Linked DNA regions of Caenorhabditis elegans. The protein of the gene in region 1 interacts with the protein of each later gene in a pairwise test. Each region holds a gene or a part of one and is shown on either strand. Other genes may lie near its edges. The genes, in order: dot-1.1 and zfp-1.

Region 1 (7,290 bases):
TACTTGTTGAGCTGAGATGTGCCGCACGCCTGGTTGAGCTGCTTCACCACCCTCTCACTATTCTCATTGTTGAAATGGCCGAGAACACGGGTCGCCGCGGCGAATTGCACGTTTCGATTGGTGCGGCCGGCGGCGAGCCAGCAAATCGATGGGAATTTCGAGCTGGTCGTGGAGATCCACACGGGCAGTGTCGAGATTGACGGCGAAAAATGCTCGGAGCAGTTGAGGCGGATGCTGAATTTTTTCGAATTTTTTTTGGTGAATATTTAATTAGTTAAAGGTGAAGTGCGCCCAAAATTTTCCTGATTTTATATGATTTTTTTTTTGAAAATTGAAAAAATCGCAGTTTTCCCAAAAAATTCCTATTAGAATTTTCGCGAATTGGATTCTTTCGGTGGAGCGCGCTTGCATTATTTTTCTCATTTTTCTCATTTTTTTTTCATTATTTGTGCATTCTCATTGGAAAAAGAGAGAAAAATGCAAATTGTTCATTAAAAAAATCACTGAAAATGGGTACAGAGCCGAAAATTAGCCTATTTCACAGTTTTACGCAGTTTCAGTGATTTTTTAATGAAAAATTCACATTTATCTTGCATTTTTCTCTCTTTTTTCAATGAAAATACACAGATAATGAAGAAAATCAGTGAAAAATTGAGAAAAAAAAATAATGCAAGCGCGCTCCACCGAACGAATCCAATTGGCGGAAAACTGAGATTTTTGCAATTTTCAAAAAAAAATCATATAAAATTTAGAAAAATTTTTTTATCATGATATATATATGATTAAAAAATGCAAAAAAATTTTCTAGATTTTATATGATTTTTTTTTGAAAATTGCAAAAATCTCAGTTCGAATTTCCGCCAATTGGATTTGTTCGGTGGAGCGCACTTGCATTATTTTTATTAATTAACTTTATTTATTCTCGTTATTTGACCGATTTTCTTCATTTTCTATGTTTTTTCCTCGGAAAATGGAAGAAATGAACAAGACAAATGCAAAATGTTTGTTAAAAAGTAATTGAAAATGAGTAAAACTGTGAAATATACTAGTTTCAGGCTTGTCGTCGTCGGATCGCATATTTTCAGAGTTTTATGCATTTTCAGTTACTTTTTAATAAAAATTTTGCATTTTTCTTGTTTATTTCTTTCATTTTCCGAGGAACAAACATAGAAAATGAAGAAAATCGGTGAAATAACGAGAATAAATAAAATAAATAAATAAAAATAATGCAAGTGCGCTCCACCGAACGAATCCAATTGGCGGAAATTCAAAGCGGAATTAGGGGGAAAACTGAGATTTTTTCAATTTTCAAAAAATCATATAAAATCTAGAAAATTTTTTTGAATTTTTTTATCATGATATTCGGTCCTTGTGACCTCATAGGAATGTTTCAAAGCAATTTCTCCGCTGGCGCTACTCCAGAAAACATAAATTTATTACTATCTCTGAAGAGACACCCCGTCCGAGAGTGGAATTGGATTTGCATCAAAGAAGCTGGTTTCACACTCGTATCCAATGATTTCCACGTCGCCAACTGTAAAATCTGGGGGTTTTTCAGCATAAAAACAGCATTTTCAACCTACCCATTCCTTTTCTCAATTTTTCCAAAGTGAGAAATGACGTCATAAGTGGTCCACCTTCATTCACATTTTCTTTATCCTCAAAACTATCTTCCATTGGCTCAATTTTCTTTTTGAAAATCATCTTTTTCTCCGCTTTTCCTGCTCCTGATCCTGTTCCCTTGGATGGAAAATCAACGACAAGAACATCTTCAGAGCTCAGAGAAAGCTGGGAAACGCTCGAATGATTCATCACGAAGGGAATCGACGTGAGCGGGAGCACGCGGACACGGTACTTGTCGAGCTGAAAAATTTAGATTTTGAAATTTTAAAATTTGAGTTAAAGGGGGAGTAGAGTTTGTGGGTATTTTACTCAAATAGACTAAAACTGGACCAAAACCACCGAATTTCATAATGAGACTTCACAAAAAATTTCCAAAACTTTTTTATGGCGGGTTAATAAAATTTCGAAAAAATAAAGCCAAATTTTGCTAAAATCTGAAATTTCGCACACTTTTCTTTGTCACAACCGCTGAATTTTAATTTTTCTAAAGTTATCACCCTTTAATCCTTATTTTGGTAATTTATCTCGCGAAAATTCGTTGATTGAGACAACTTTTAAGCCGATAGGCTTAAAAGTTGAGTAGGCATCCAATTTTGATCATTTTTGGATGCCTATCGGCCTAAAAGTTTTCTCAATCAACGAATTTCCGCGACATAAATTACCAAAAGAAGAATTAAAGGGTGATAATTTCAGAAAAACTAAAATCAAGCGGCTGTGAGACAAAGAAAAGTATGCGAAATTTCGGATTTTAGCAAAATTTGGCTCTTTTTTCGAAATTTTGGCCCGCCATAAAAATGTTTTGGAAATTTTTTGTGAAGTCTCGTTATGAAATTCGGTGGTTTTGGACCAGTTTTAGTCTATTTAAGCAAAATACCCACAAACCCCACTCCCCCTTCAAACGAAGAATTCTAGAATTTTGGGGGAAAATTACCAGGAGAACCGGTGCCGGGGCGTCGTCCTCTTCGCCTTTTGCGGCCATTTTTTCATTATATTGCTTGAGCTGCTCGATGGTGAGTGGCATTTTCTGGGAAATGAAATTTTGAAAAAAAAAAGAAGAGAATTTTCTGAAAAAACGTGAAAAAAAACATTTTTTCACTGATTTTCTTCATTATTTGTGTATTTTCATCGGCAAAAAGAGAGAAAAATGCGAGATAAATGTGAATTTTTCATTGAAAAATCACTGAAAATGGGTAAAACTGTAATATTATGAGTTCCGACGACAACAAGCCGGAAATTAGCTATTTTCAGTGATTTTTTAATGAAAAATTCACATTTATCTTGCATTTTTCTCTCTTTTTGCGATGAAAATACACAAATAATGAAGAAAATCAGTGAAATAAGGAGAAAAATAAAATAAATTAATAACAATTTAATTTCCGGCTTGTTGTCGTCGGAACTCATAATTTTACAGTTTTATCCGTTTTTAGTGATTTTTTAATGAAAAATTTACATTTATCTTGCATTTTTCTCTTTTTTTCCGAATAAAAAAACCCAAAAAATTAAGAAAATCTGTGAAAAAATGAGAAAAATAAAGTAAATTGTTTTGTTTTCGCGCCACTTAAGTGCACTTCCTGTGCAAACACTTCCACGTACTTTTGCGTACTCTGCAAGCGCGCCCCACTGCACTCCTTATCGACCCACCAATTTTTCCAATAAAAAAGACTTTCTGATTGGATTTTTTCTCAATTTTTGTTTTAAAATCAAAGAAATTAATGAAAATTAATTAATAACACATTATAATTTTTAAAAAATCCATTTTTCAGCAGGATGTCGGAGGCAGACGCCGGCGCGAGGGATGGTGAGAAAATTAAGATAAAAAATTCAAAAAAATCAAAGAAAAATTGCAGAATCACCATCAAGGACAGCGGAAGAGCCGGCTGCTGCAATGAGAATCAAAGAAGAACGGAGAAGTTCTTCGGTAGACGTAGTCGACGTAGGAAACGGCGAATTATTAGTGCTTCACTCGATTTTTTATCAAGGAAAGACGCTTCGTCTGCCGGGTAATAGAGCTCACATGTATCCCGTTGTCTTTCAAATGATTAAAGGGTGAGAAAAAATCGATTTATAAATATATATATATATATATAATTAATTTCTGATCATTTTTCCATTTTCAGCGTGTGCTCCCTAGTTAAACAATTGGTGGTCGCTTTCCCGAAGGGCTGGGACCAAAATACTCCGTCAATTAGTGAAATTGCGGCTCTGACGAAGAGTTTTAATCGTGTCGCCAAGCCATTTGCTTCGAATGTGAGCTTTTTTGGCGTTTATAAAATCCAAAAAAGGCGGAAAAAATAACTTTTTTTTGGCGTTTAAAAATCCAAAAAAACCGGAAAAAATAGCTTTTTTTTGGCGTTTATAAAATCCAAAAAAGGCGGAAAAAATCGAATAAAAATGAAAAATTCGTGTTTTTTCTTCCTTTTCTTGGATTTTTTTAAACCAAAATCCGCAAAATTTGCAAAAATTAATTAATTAACTATTTAATTTCAGTGGAGCGGGTCGTACAACACAGATACGCTGAAAGAGTGGGGAGAGCCAAATTGCTCGGCAGAAGTGGCAAAAGCCATCACAACGTACGCCTACGAGTGTGCAGTTCCACGGCCAGCAGATCTCAATCAACATTACAAAAGTTTCACGTCCGAGGTGAGGCGTTTTCCTGGAAAATTCATATTTTATGGAAAAAAGCTGATAGTTTCGGGATTTTTATTCAAAAATCGGTTTTTCCTTAGAAATAAGCCTGAAAATTTATATTTTCTAAAAGCCAAATAATTTAGGCATTTTAACTTAAAAATTCATCAAAAATCCTATTTTTATCGAAAAAAAGTCAATAATTTCGCTAAAAATCGGCTTGAAAACGATTAGTTTCGGGATTATTACTCAAAAATCAGCCCGAAAATCCATATTTTTATCGAAAAAATCCCATAATTCTGCATAAAATCGGCCTAAACGCGATTAATTTCGAGATTTTGACTCAAAAAATCATGGAAAATCCATATTTTTATCGAAAAAAGCCAGAAATTTCGCGGAAAATCGTCTTTTCAAAGATTTTTTCGCCCAAAAAGACAGAAAAATCTCACTTCACCTTAAAAAATTATATAAATATTTCAATTTTGCAGAAAAAAATTGAAAAGTGCCGAATCAATCTATTTTTTCACATTTTCAGACGCTTTTCCTTCTAAAATTAGCCTAAAAATCGATATTTTAACATTTATTTGAGCTTTTTTTGGCGAAAAAATCAAGAAAAACGATTTTTTTGATTATAAATTACCCAGAAAATCCCTGTTTTTAATGAAAAATTGGCCTGAAAACGATGAAAAATGTCAAAAAACGCCAAAAAAACCTATAAAATCCAATTTATTTATTTTTTGATTAAAAAAAACTAATTTTCCCTATAAATTATCCTGAAAATCCCTATTTTTAATCAAAAATCGGCCTGAAAACGATGAAAAATGTCAAAAAATGCCAAAAAAACATAGAAAATCCAATTTATTTATTTTTGATTAAATAAATTAATTTTCCCTATAAATTACCCAGAAAAACCCTGTTTTTAACCAAAAATCGGCCTGAAAACGATGAAAAATGTCAAAAAACGCCAAAAAAACCTATAAAATCCAATTTATTTATTTTTTGATTAAAAAAAACTAATTTTCCCTATAAATTATCCTGAAAATCCCTATTTTTAATCAAAAATCGGCCTGAAAACGATGAAAAATGTCAAAAAATGCCAAAAAAACATAGAAAATCCAATTCATTTATTTTTTGATTAAATAAATTAATTTTCCCTATAAATTATCCTGAAAATCCCTATTTTTAATCAAAAATCGGCCTGAAAACGATGAAAAATGTCAAAAATCCCATTAATTTTCAGACTTATGGAGAAACAAATCCCGAACAATTGATCAGCATAATCGATGAGCTCAACATTGGACCACAGGACGTTTTCGTTGATTTAGGCAGTGGAATCGGTCAGCTCGTATGCCTGACGGCTGCCTACGCGAAATGCAAAAAATCCGTTGGAATTGAGCTTTCGCAAGTTCCTTCGAATTTTGCACAAGATCTTGCCGGTTATTTTAAAAAGTATGAAATATGCCCTTTTTTTTGCGAAAAAAAGCAATTTGATACTGAAAAATTGGAAAAATCGGGTTTTTTCGGTGTTTTGGCAGAATTTTTAAATTTTTCGTGTTTTTTCAACAATTTTGACATTAAAATTGAATTTACCTGGTAATTTTCTGATTTTAAGCGAAATAATTTAGTAGTTGAAGTAATAACGTTTCAGAGAACGTAGAAAACTGACTTTTTACTCAAAAATCGATTTTGGAAGCCATTTTTGGCCAAAATTGAGCATTTTTTCATAAAATAAAAGAGAAATCCCCTCTATTTCATAAAAAATGCTAATTTTTGACAAAAAATGACTTCAAAAACCGATTTTTGAGTAAAATTCGGTTTTATACGATCTCTGAAACGTTATTTATTTAATTAATTAATTATTTCGCTCAAAATCAGCAAATTAACTGGTAATTTCAATTTTTGTGTTAAAATTGTTTAAAAAACTCGAAAAAAGTTTTAAATTCCCGCCAAAACACAAAAAAAGCCTAATTTATTGCGAAACCTGCGAAAAAATTTAGCAAAAATAGGTTTTTCCAGATTTACGAAGTTTTTAACCGCTTTTTAAAATTTTTACAACAATTTGACACTGAAAAAATTGAAATTACCATGTAATTTTTTGATTTTAACCGAAAAAATAAAAGACTTGGAAAAATAACGTTTCAGAGAGCGTATAAAATTGAATTTTTACTCAAAAATCGATTTTGGAAGCCAATATTTTGTTAAAAACTAGCCCTTTTTTATATAATAAAGGAAAAATGCTAATTTTTGACAAAAAAAATGGCTTCCAAAATCGATTTTTGAGTAAAAAATTCAGTTTTTTACGTTCTCTGAAACGTTATTTAATTAATTAATTAATTATTTTGCCTAAAACCGGAAAATTAACTGGTAATTCCAATATTTGTGTTAAAATTGTTTGAAAAACTCGAAAAAGGTTTGAAATTTCCGTCAAAACACCGGAAAAATGCCTAATTTATTGCGAAAACTGTTAAAATTTAGCAAAAATAAGTGTTTTCCAGATTTACAAAGTTTTTTAACCGCTTTTTAAAGAATATTTGCAACAATTTTTATTCAAAAATTGATTTTGGAAGCCATTTTTTGGCCAAAATTTAGCATTTTTCAAGTTTTCAGTGTCAATTTGTTGAAAAAAACGCTGAATTTTCCAATTTTTCACAAAAAAAAACTGTCAAAATCCAGAAAAAAGTCAGTTTTTTTCCAGATTTATGAGCCATTTTGGAAAAAATCACGGAAAATTCGAGCATATTCAAGGCGATTTTTTGAATCCGAAATTCAAACAACTAATTTGTGAGGAGGCTACCGTCATTTTCATCAACAATTTCGCGTTTGACGCCGCGCTGATGCTCCGAATTAATACTGAGCTGCTCCAGGACTTGAAGCACGGCACTCGAATTGTTACGACGAAAGAGTAGGGATTTTTTATGGGAATTTTCAGTGAAAAAATGGATTTTTTGCAGGCTTGGAACCAATAAAAAGGAGATTACATTCCGCTCAACAAGTGGTATGTTTGGAAATGGAAAATTGAGAAATGCGGAGGAATTTCAGTGA
Region 2 (7,257 bases), on another chromosome or scaffold:
ATTGTGAAAATACTGGGAAGCCCTGTAAACGATAAGACAGACAAAGTAAAATGATAAGAAATCAACTTTGAAAAACGACAAAATCGGGCGATTTCTATTCTTCTCTTCTCTACATCTCTTTCACTAAAGTTATTATTGGCAGCAAGCCAACAAAACCGTGCGCCCAATGTTGTGAATGACTATGCGTATGAGAGTGTATGACCGACCACCAGCCACCCTCCACAGGCTGATTGAATGTTTCTCTCTTTCTCTCATTGTGCACGTCACTCTCTCTTCTTCTAACTGTCTTTCTCTCTTCATATCCTCATTCCTTATCGTCGTCTGATTCTCCAAGGTTTCTTCGTCTCGATTGCGCAAAAGAGACGCAGAGTCTTAAGCATTTTGCTGCTTTGGAGACATACACACATCTATGCGCGTAGAGACACGTACACACACAAAGCCTTCAGTCACAAAAATGAGAAACACACAGCAGCAGTCGCAGCCACAGCATCGCCGTCTCGGGGCCAGGCAGAGGACACCGATCATTCACCAGTCATCGAATCGACACGGCAATAGAAAGAGGGTGGAAACAAGTGAGAGCGCGGCGACACGACAAGGATGCCTAAGGCATCATTTGATCGGAAGAGTGATCAGACATGCAGACAAACATCGAAGAGTCCTCCGATCGGATGATTGCAACGGGAAAAACGAAGGGAGTGCAATCAACAGAGGCGACAGGGGTAACAAGTGAAGGATAGGAAGCGAGTAAAACCACTACCAGCACTCCGAAAAAACGAAAACTTGTGTGTGTGTGTGTGCCTGTGCGGAGGAGGAGGTGGAGAGAGAAAACGAATCGAATCGGCGACGATCCTGCGAAGGACATCAACGACGACGCGACGACAATGGCCACCGCCGGTCGACCCAGCGCCTGGGCGCCCACTTCTCCTCCTTTGCCTGCATTTGATCAGTACGATACAAAAATGTCTACCGGGTTGAGAGGTGCGCGGAAGTAAGACAACAATGAAGGATCCCATGATTGATAGACTTAGAAGTTGAAGATATTCGGAGAAGTGTAGAGACCAGCTAAAGGGAGACTTAGATATTGAAAAGAGACGGAACAAAACATTGCTCAGTGTTTTGGAAAAGTTTGTGCTGAATTTTGAAAAAAAAAACAAAAATTTGCAGCGTCCTCATTAGTAAAAAGAACTAATAAAGATTATTAGACTTTTTCAAAAAAAACTAAAGGGTTTTATGATATTTGTTACCGTTTAATTTAAATTAGGTGAATTAGAATAACATCAAAAATTTGACAACCCCCGAGAACAATCAAGACATTCAACTTAGTTGGAAACAGGCGAAGATCGTCTTAAGGTGAGGCAGGCAGGCGGTGAGGCCTATATGATAGGCCTACTTTCAAGATCAAAAGTTTAATTTAGATTTAGAAATAATTCTGTGAATGTACCAAAATGTAAAACAAAAATGTTAAATGACAAAGTCTAGAAAAAAAAAAAAAAGAACATAGAACTACTTCAGGGAGACGGAAGAGAAAATGAGTGAATGTCTCTCTTTGGCGACAAAAAAACTCCATTGACGGAAGACGATGAGAAAGGTGACATCAAACACAACGAGAAGAGGAAAGTAGGTGAGAGAGTGAGTAGAGACGTAGAGAGTTAAGCAAAAACCGTAACAAGTGAGAAAGTGGGGAGATGCAAGGATGATGTAGCAGGAAAATGTAGAGTATGACGTGGCGACGACTATATTCAAATCTATCGAGTATTCGTCGAAGAAGAACCAAATGAAGCACAAGAGAATGATGTTGCCTCACTATGTGCGTGTGTATGTATGTGTGCGTACGGACGGAGAAAACGAAAAAGCAGGACAAAGCGAGGAATACGACGATGACGATAAAGAGGAAAATAAGAAGCGCAGACGAAACAACGGCCGCCGGGGGCCACCCGAGAAAAAGAAGTCCAGAAGGGGCGGCGAAGAGCAGACGCAGAGAATCATCTAAGCTTATGAAATTGAGAGAGAGAGAGACACTCTATGCACGTCTCTTTCTCTTCCAAACTCGCTTGGCCCGACAGCAATTTGTTCCTTTTTGTGTCTATGTCTCTCCGAGTTCTTCGTCTATCTCTCTCAGTGCCCCCCCCCCCCCCGAGCACTATTTGTCGTTGTCACACTCAGTCAGCCATCCATCCAGCCAGCCGTTGGCCCAACCCATTTCATTTCGTCTAAACGTCTGTACTCTCTTCTCTCGTCTATTCCATCTTCTCAAGTGTGTTGTGTTGAATGGATGGTGTGTGTATGTGTATGTGGAAGCACGCGGACCTCCTTCGACAATGTCTCCCTCTCTCTCTCAACCTCTCTTTCGGTTTCTTTTTCTCAGGATAAAGAGATTTTAGACGCAGATATGAAAACAGGACGGAGGACGTCTCTTTCTCCATCTCTATCTCTTTCACTCTAAGAGTGAAGCGCAATGGCTGTGTTGCTATTCCAGGGTCCCAATGCTGTGACTCAGAAATAGAGTATCCTGAGAAGAGATGCAGAGAAGAAGCGGGCACACACGATTGTATTCATATTTTTACTTCTCTGAATCTCTAATACTCCGTACAATCTCTAGTTTTTCAAGAGACAGGTGTCTATCCACCTGGTCTATCAAGCATCGGACCTTCACAGCACCAGTATGACTAGGGATTAAATATTTGAAATTGATGGGTACTGTAGTTCTATTTTTATTTTCACTTCTATGAAAAACCAAGTGATAATCTGGCCTGATTTTCTTAAAATATTAAGAAATCGATTTTAATACTTTTTTCTCAATTTTTAGCGCATAAATCTTCAATAAACATACCGCTTTCTTCAAATGATTTTCACAATAACCACAATACTTGACATTCCGACTTATTGCCCCTTCTTCACATAAAAGTCCTTTCCGCTGAGCACAGGTTACGTGAAAGCTCCTCTGAAAATTTCGTTTAAATTACAAGAAATTTAAAGAAAAATAAAAATACCTTGCACGTCGACTTGTTACACGACATACATGCACCTTTTTTCGCATCATTTGGACGTTCTTCATTGCAGATGTAGCACAGTTTATTGAATCTATAAAATATATAAATTGATCGAGATAGTAATAAAACTTCAAGATTTTTTCAAAGAAAGAGTTTAAAATGTTTAGATTTTTTGTTGTTGTTTTTTTTTTGAAAGTCGAAAAATCGAAAAACTGGAAAAAAAATTTCGGTTCAGAAATGTACCGGAAATTTTTAAAATTTGAGATTTTCCAGAGAGTCAAAAAATCGAAAGTCGAAAACTCAAAAAATATTCACCCTTGATCAGACACATTTTTCATATTGAATTACCCATATTCTTGAGAAAAACTTACTTATCAGTTGGTACATCATTTAATATGACTGGTTCCATACTATGTACGTTCCCAAATCGCACTTCTGGAATGTAAAGTGCACAAATTACATGAGCCCATCCGTTTCGATCAGTTTTTTTCAATGCTCCATAGTCAAACGGACACAATTGACAACAAAATGTTGCCTCATTTATACTGCCGGGCATCATAGCTGATGCTTTCGTACATTTTGCACAAAACCATTCGCCTTCGGGTACTTCTTGAATTCCATAACATCCTGAAATGATAAAAATTCGGTGGGGCCTAATCGGAAAATTTGGTTTTTTGAGAGAAAATCGAAAAAAAAAAATCAAATTCATCTAATAAGATGGAAAAAAGCAAAACTTCAAACAATGCTTGGAAACGTTGGATTTTTTTTCGAAATATCGGGAAAAATACTAAAATTTTTCAATTTCTGTGAACTTCTACTCACCCTGATGTACTGCAACTTCACAATTCTCTCCATCACAATAGATCAATGGATTGTCTGTCCAACCATTCTCATCTGCACAAACGCAGCATCCACCTACCATCTCCTTCATTTTTCAGCAATTTCGGGGGACTCTGTAAAAATAATTATCCATTTGAGAATACAATTCACAAATTTTCCACAAAAATTCGAAAAAACTTACGATAATTTTTTTTGGGTTACTGTAGCTGGTCAAGAGGTCAGGCGTGGCTCATTTGTATGGTGATGTGCTGTAAAAATTCGGTAAAAATTACGCAGAAAAGGGGAGATTAGAGGTATATTGCCGTAAATTATTGATTTATTATGGCCGAGCGACAAATAAAGAAACAGAACAAATAGAAATAACCTAATTTCGGAGAAAAAAGAACGTTTAACAATTATCTATAATTGAATGCGTATCAAAAATAGTATTAAAGTTTCATAGAGATATTTAAATATTAGATTCGGAAAACAAAATAAATTGAAGAATGTTTTGCTTTATAAAATACACTAAAAATCCATTTGAAAATATCAAATATCAAATTACGAAACTCTTCAGAAATTCATTGAAAAATCTTTTATGGCCATTCAAAATTTTGCATAAAGGCTAATTCTTCAAAATTTAGAATTTTAGGTAAAACTGCTATAAAAAAGTTTGAGGAATTATTGAAAAGTTTCGTTATGAATTTCGGACTTTTCGGGCCAATTTGAGTGAACAAATTTTTCATTGAAAATTTAACGCCGAGCATTAGATATTTTTCTCTCAATTTTTGAAATAAAAGAAAATGGAACTGTACAAAATTTCGTCACAAAAGACAAACGGCAGCAGTCAATCAATACGACGAATAGAGGTCATTCAAAGACAAAAAATTTTTGCAGCGTCTCTCTTTTCTCTCTCCTTCTTATTATCGGGGAGCGGCCATCGATTCGATTTTCGATTCAGTCAAGTCAAAAAAGTTATGGGCGTGAATGAATGAATATACATTTAATAGTGATAATCAAATTGAGAGAACGACAGAGAATTACAGATTGTGTATGGAAGAAAAGGAAGAAGAAGAAATACACTGATAACGACGACATCGTCAGTGTCTTTCTCTCTCTCTCTCTATCTCTCTCTCGTCACCAAACCACCATCACAATCTTCCCGATTTGAAGTCTTTGACAATGAGAGAGTATTAGACACAGACAACTAGTAGCCTACAGTAGGAGAGACCGACATCACGTTCTCGTTTGGAAGAGAGGGAGAAGCAATCGAGAAGAAGAAGAAAAAGGAGGTGAAGATAGACACATACAACTTGGCATCGTGCCAAGCATGCATGAATTCTCACAGGGGCGCAGCGACGTCGGCTCTTCTATGTCACATGCACACAAGGAGCACATACATACAAACAAGAAGGGGAAGCTTTGCTCCTTTTCTCTCTAACTTTCTGCGTTCCAGTGCTTTATTTCATATAGCCGTATGTTTTAATAAAATTAGTTGAAAAGAAAATAATATACGGATCGGAAAATATAAAAATTTAAATGAAAAGAGTCATTTGGATGCTTAAAAAATCGTCCAAGGGCGAAATAAAGTTAATAAACTTTTATATTTTTCTCTAAACCTCGCCTAACATTTTCTACCACATAACCTTATAAAAATTAACATTGTATTGTCATTGAAAAATTAAATATTGAAAATTAACGGTCAAGGTGATAAATATAAATGGAAAAGTAATCAGTATCATCATAGACACAGATGTGATCGGATATACTTCGGGTATCGAGAAAAGAAAATTTACGATGGGGTACTTGCATAACACAAGAAAATCTCTACAGAGGGGTCACGAAGGATTACGATAGTCAAGAAATCATTTTATTGATTTTTTAAAACCACTTGGGGAACAGTTATAAATTTAATTTAACTAATGGTTATTGTGTGAAATAAAAATTTCTACAGAAAATTAACATCTTTAACAAAAAGTTTTTAAAATTAAAAAAAAAAATTTAAGAAGCAAGAGAATTTATTAATAGAACTTCACTGGTTTTTAAACATTTTTCAAGGCTAAAAATTCTTTTTTGATGAATCAAAAATAAATAAATAAATTTTATCGAGGATTTGTTTTCTAAATTTGACTATAAAAATTAATAATGAAAAACCATAGAAATTATATTAATTTTCCGACAATTTCCTCACTGAAGATATCTAAAAGGTGTTCATAATGACAATAAGTGTCAGAGACCAGAAAAAATTGGGTCGTCAGACTGACGATAGTAGCCGAAAGGAACAGAAAATCGGCACAAATGTCTCGGACAGCGACAACACGGTTTGTCTTTTTCTTTGTGGGGCGACAAGGCGCTGAGCACCTGACACTTGACCCATCACATATCGATCGGATTTAGACCGAATAAAGCCTCGAACAACATCGACAAAACGAGAAATGAGAATGACGACGACGTCCGTGGAAGGAAAAAAGTGGAAAAACAGAAGGAAAAACAAGACTTGACTGGGAAAAGCGAGAAGTAGATGGAGAGGCGAAAAACAAGTGTAACTTTTGATTGAGTGTGTCCCAGCTGTGGTTGAGAGTATGGATAGATGCAGACTGACTGCTGAATGCATACATACACGCGACGAGGCAAAAAGAACAGAACAGAGAGGAGAAGAGGAGGACGAGGACGAAGACGGGATGCAGCAGACCCTAGTGGGGGTCTCTCTACTACCATAGCTTCTCTATGTCTCTCATGCGAACCCCTCTTCGCGTTTCTCTATTTCTCTAACACCTCTTCAGGCTGTTCTATTTCTCTTTTGTCGTCGGGTCGCACTCGCGTATGTCCGATGTGACCGGCTATTCAACTGGCGAGGGATACGGAGACGTAGATTACTTTCGCGTCTGATCCCTCCGACTATCTATCCATCTCCCTCCCACTTCCAACACACAGCCACACACACCTCAAAAGAATCCGTCTTTCCCTCTTGGGGTCGTCTTTTCTTCATCGATTGGACATAGTAAGAGTGTTAGACTTAGAATGTAGAGGAAACTCGCGGTGTTCGATGAGCAAAAGCAGTGGGAGCAGATCCTGCTCACTTTCTCACCAACATCGTCTCTGAGTGTTGTTCATCTGGGGACCAGCGTTTCCTTTTTGAGGGTCTTTCAGTTGAAACATATTGTATTCAGTAATATTTTGAATATTCGTTTCGTTATGTGCTCTCTTAATTCGAATTAAACTTTCAGAAAATCTATTCTATTGTAAAAATGAAAAGCAGATAATTAATAAGAAATATTTCCTTTCGATTCTCTCTGATTCTTATGTTCATGTCTACATTGTATAGGAATTGACAAAAAAGATTCACTGTTTGTGGCAATTCACCAAAAAAAATCGACTTTTTCAACAGCAATTTCCAATGTTCGACGTGCCGTTTATTATATAAACGCAGGACTCAAAACTGATAAGA

The links.
Region 2: the proteins of dot-1.1 (region 1) and zfp-1 interact in binary tests that used the Caenorhabditis elegans proteins (3 or more experiments, as listed by UniProt).

What each region holds. Positions count from the first base shown.
Region 1 is NC_003279.8:2,397,589-2,404,878, reverse strand, and holds the start of dot-1.1 (Histone-lysine N-methyltransferase, H3 lysine-79 specific), read left to right. Parts: upstream 1-3,386; 5' UTR 3,387-3,390; coding exon 3,391-3,421; intron 3,422-3,470; coding exon 3,471-3,669; intron 3,670-3,740; coding exon 3,741-3,870; intron 3,871-4,110; coding exon 4,111-4,263; intron 4,264-5,488; coding exon 5,489-5,697; intron 5,698-6,943; coding exon 6,944-7,150; intron 7,151-7,199; coding exon 7,200-7,243; intron 7,244-7,290. Other genes in the region: zwl-1 (Protein zwilch homolog), read right to left, coding at 1-234, 1,441-1,534, 1,584-1,863, 2,555-2,644. UniProt on the Caenorhabditis elegans protein: Histone methyltransferase, which in complex with zfp-1, methylates 'Lys-79' of histone H3 to activate transcription.
Region 2 is NC_003281.10:8,795,219-8,802,475, reverse strand, and holds the start of zfp-1 (Zinc finger protein zfp-1), read right to left. Parts: upstream 4,079-7,257; 5' UTR 4,012-4,078; intron 3,944-4,011; 5' UTR 3,922-3,943; coding exon 3,813-3,921; intron 3,618-3,812; coding exon 3,362-3,617; intron 3,082-3,361; coding exon 2,991-3,081; intron 2,944-2,990; exon of another isoform or gene 2,942-2,943; coding exon 2,831-2,941; intron 1,991-2,830; coding exon of another isoform or gene 1,775-1,990; intron 1-1,774. Other genes in the region: F54F2.6 (uncharacterized protein), read left to right, coding at 1,775-1,990. UniProt on the Caenorhabditis elegans protein: Recruits the histone methyltransferase dot-1.1 to chromatin to methylate 'Lys-79' of histone H3 and activate transcription. Recognizes and binds histone H3 methylated at 'Lys-4' (H3K4me) at the promoters of target genes.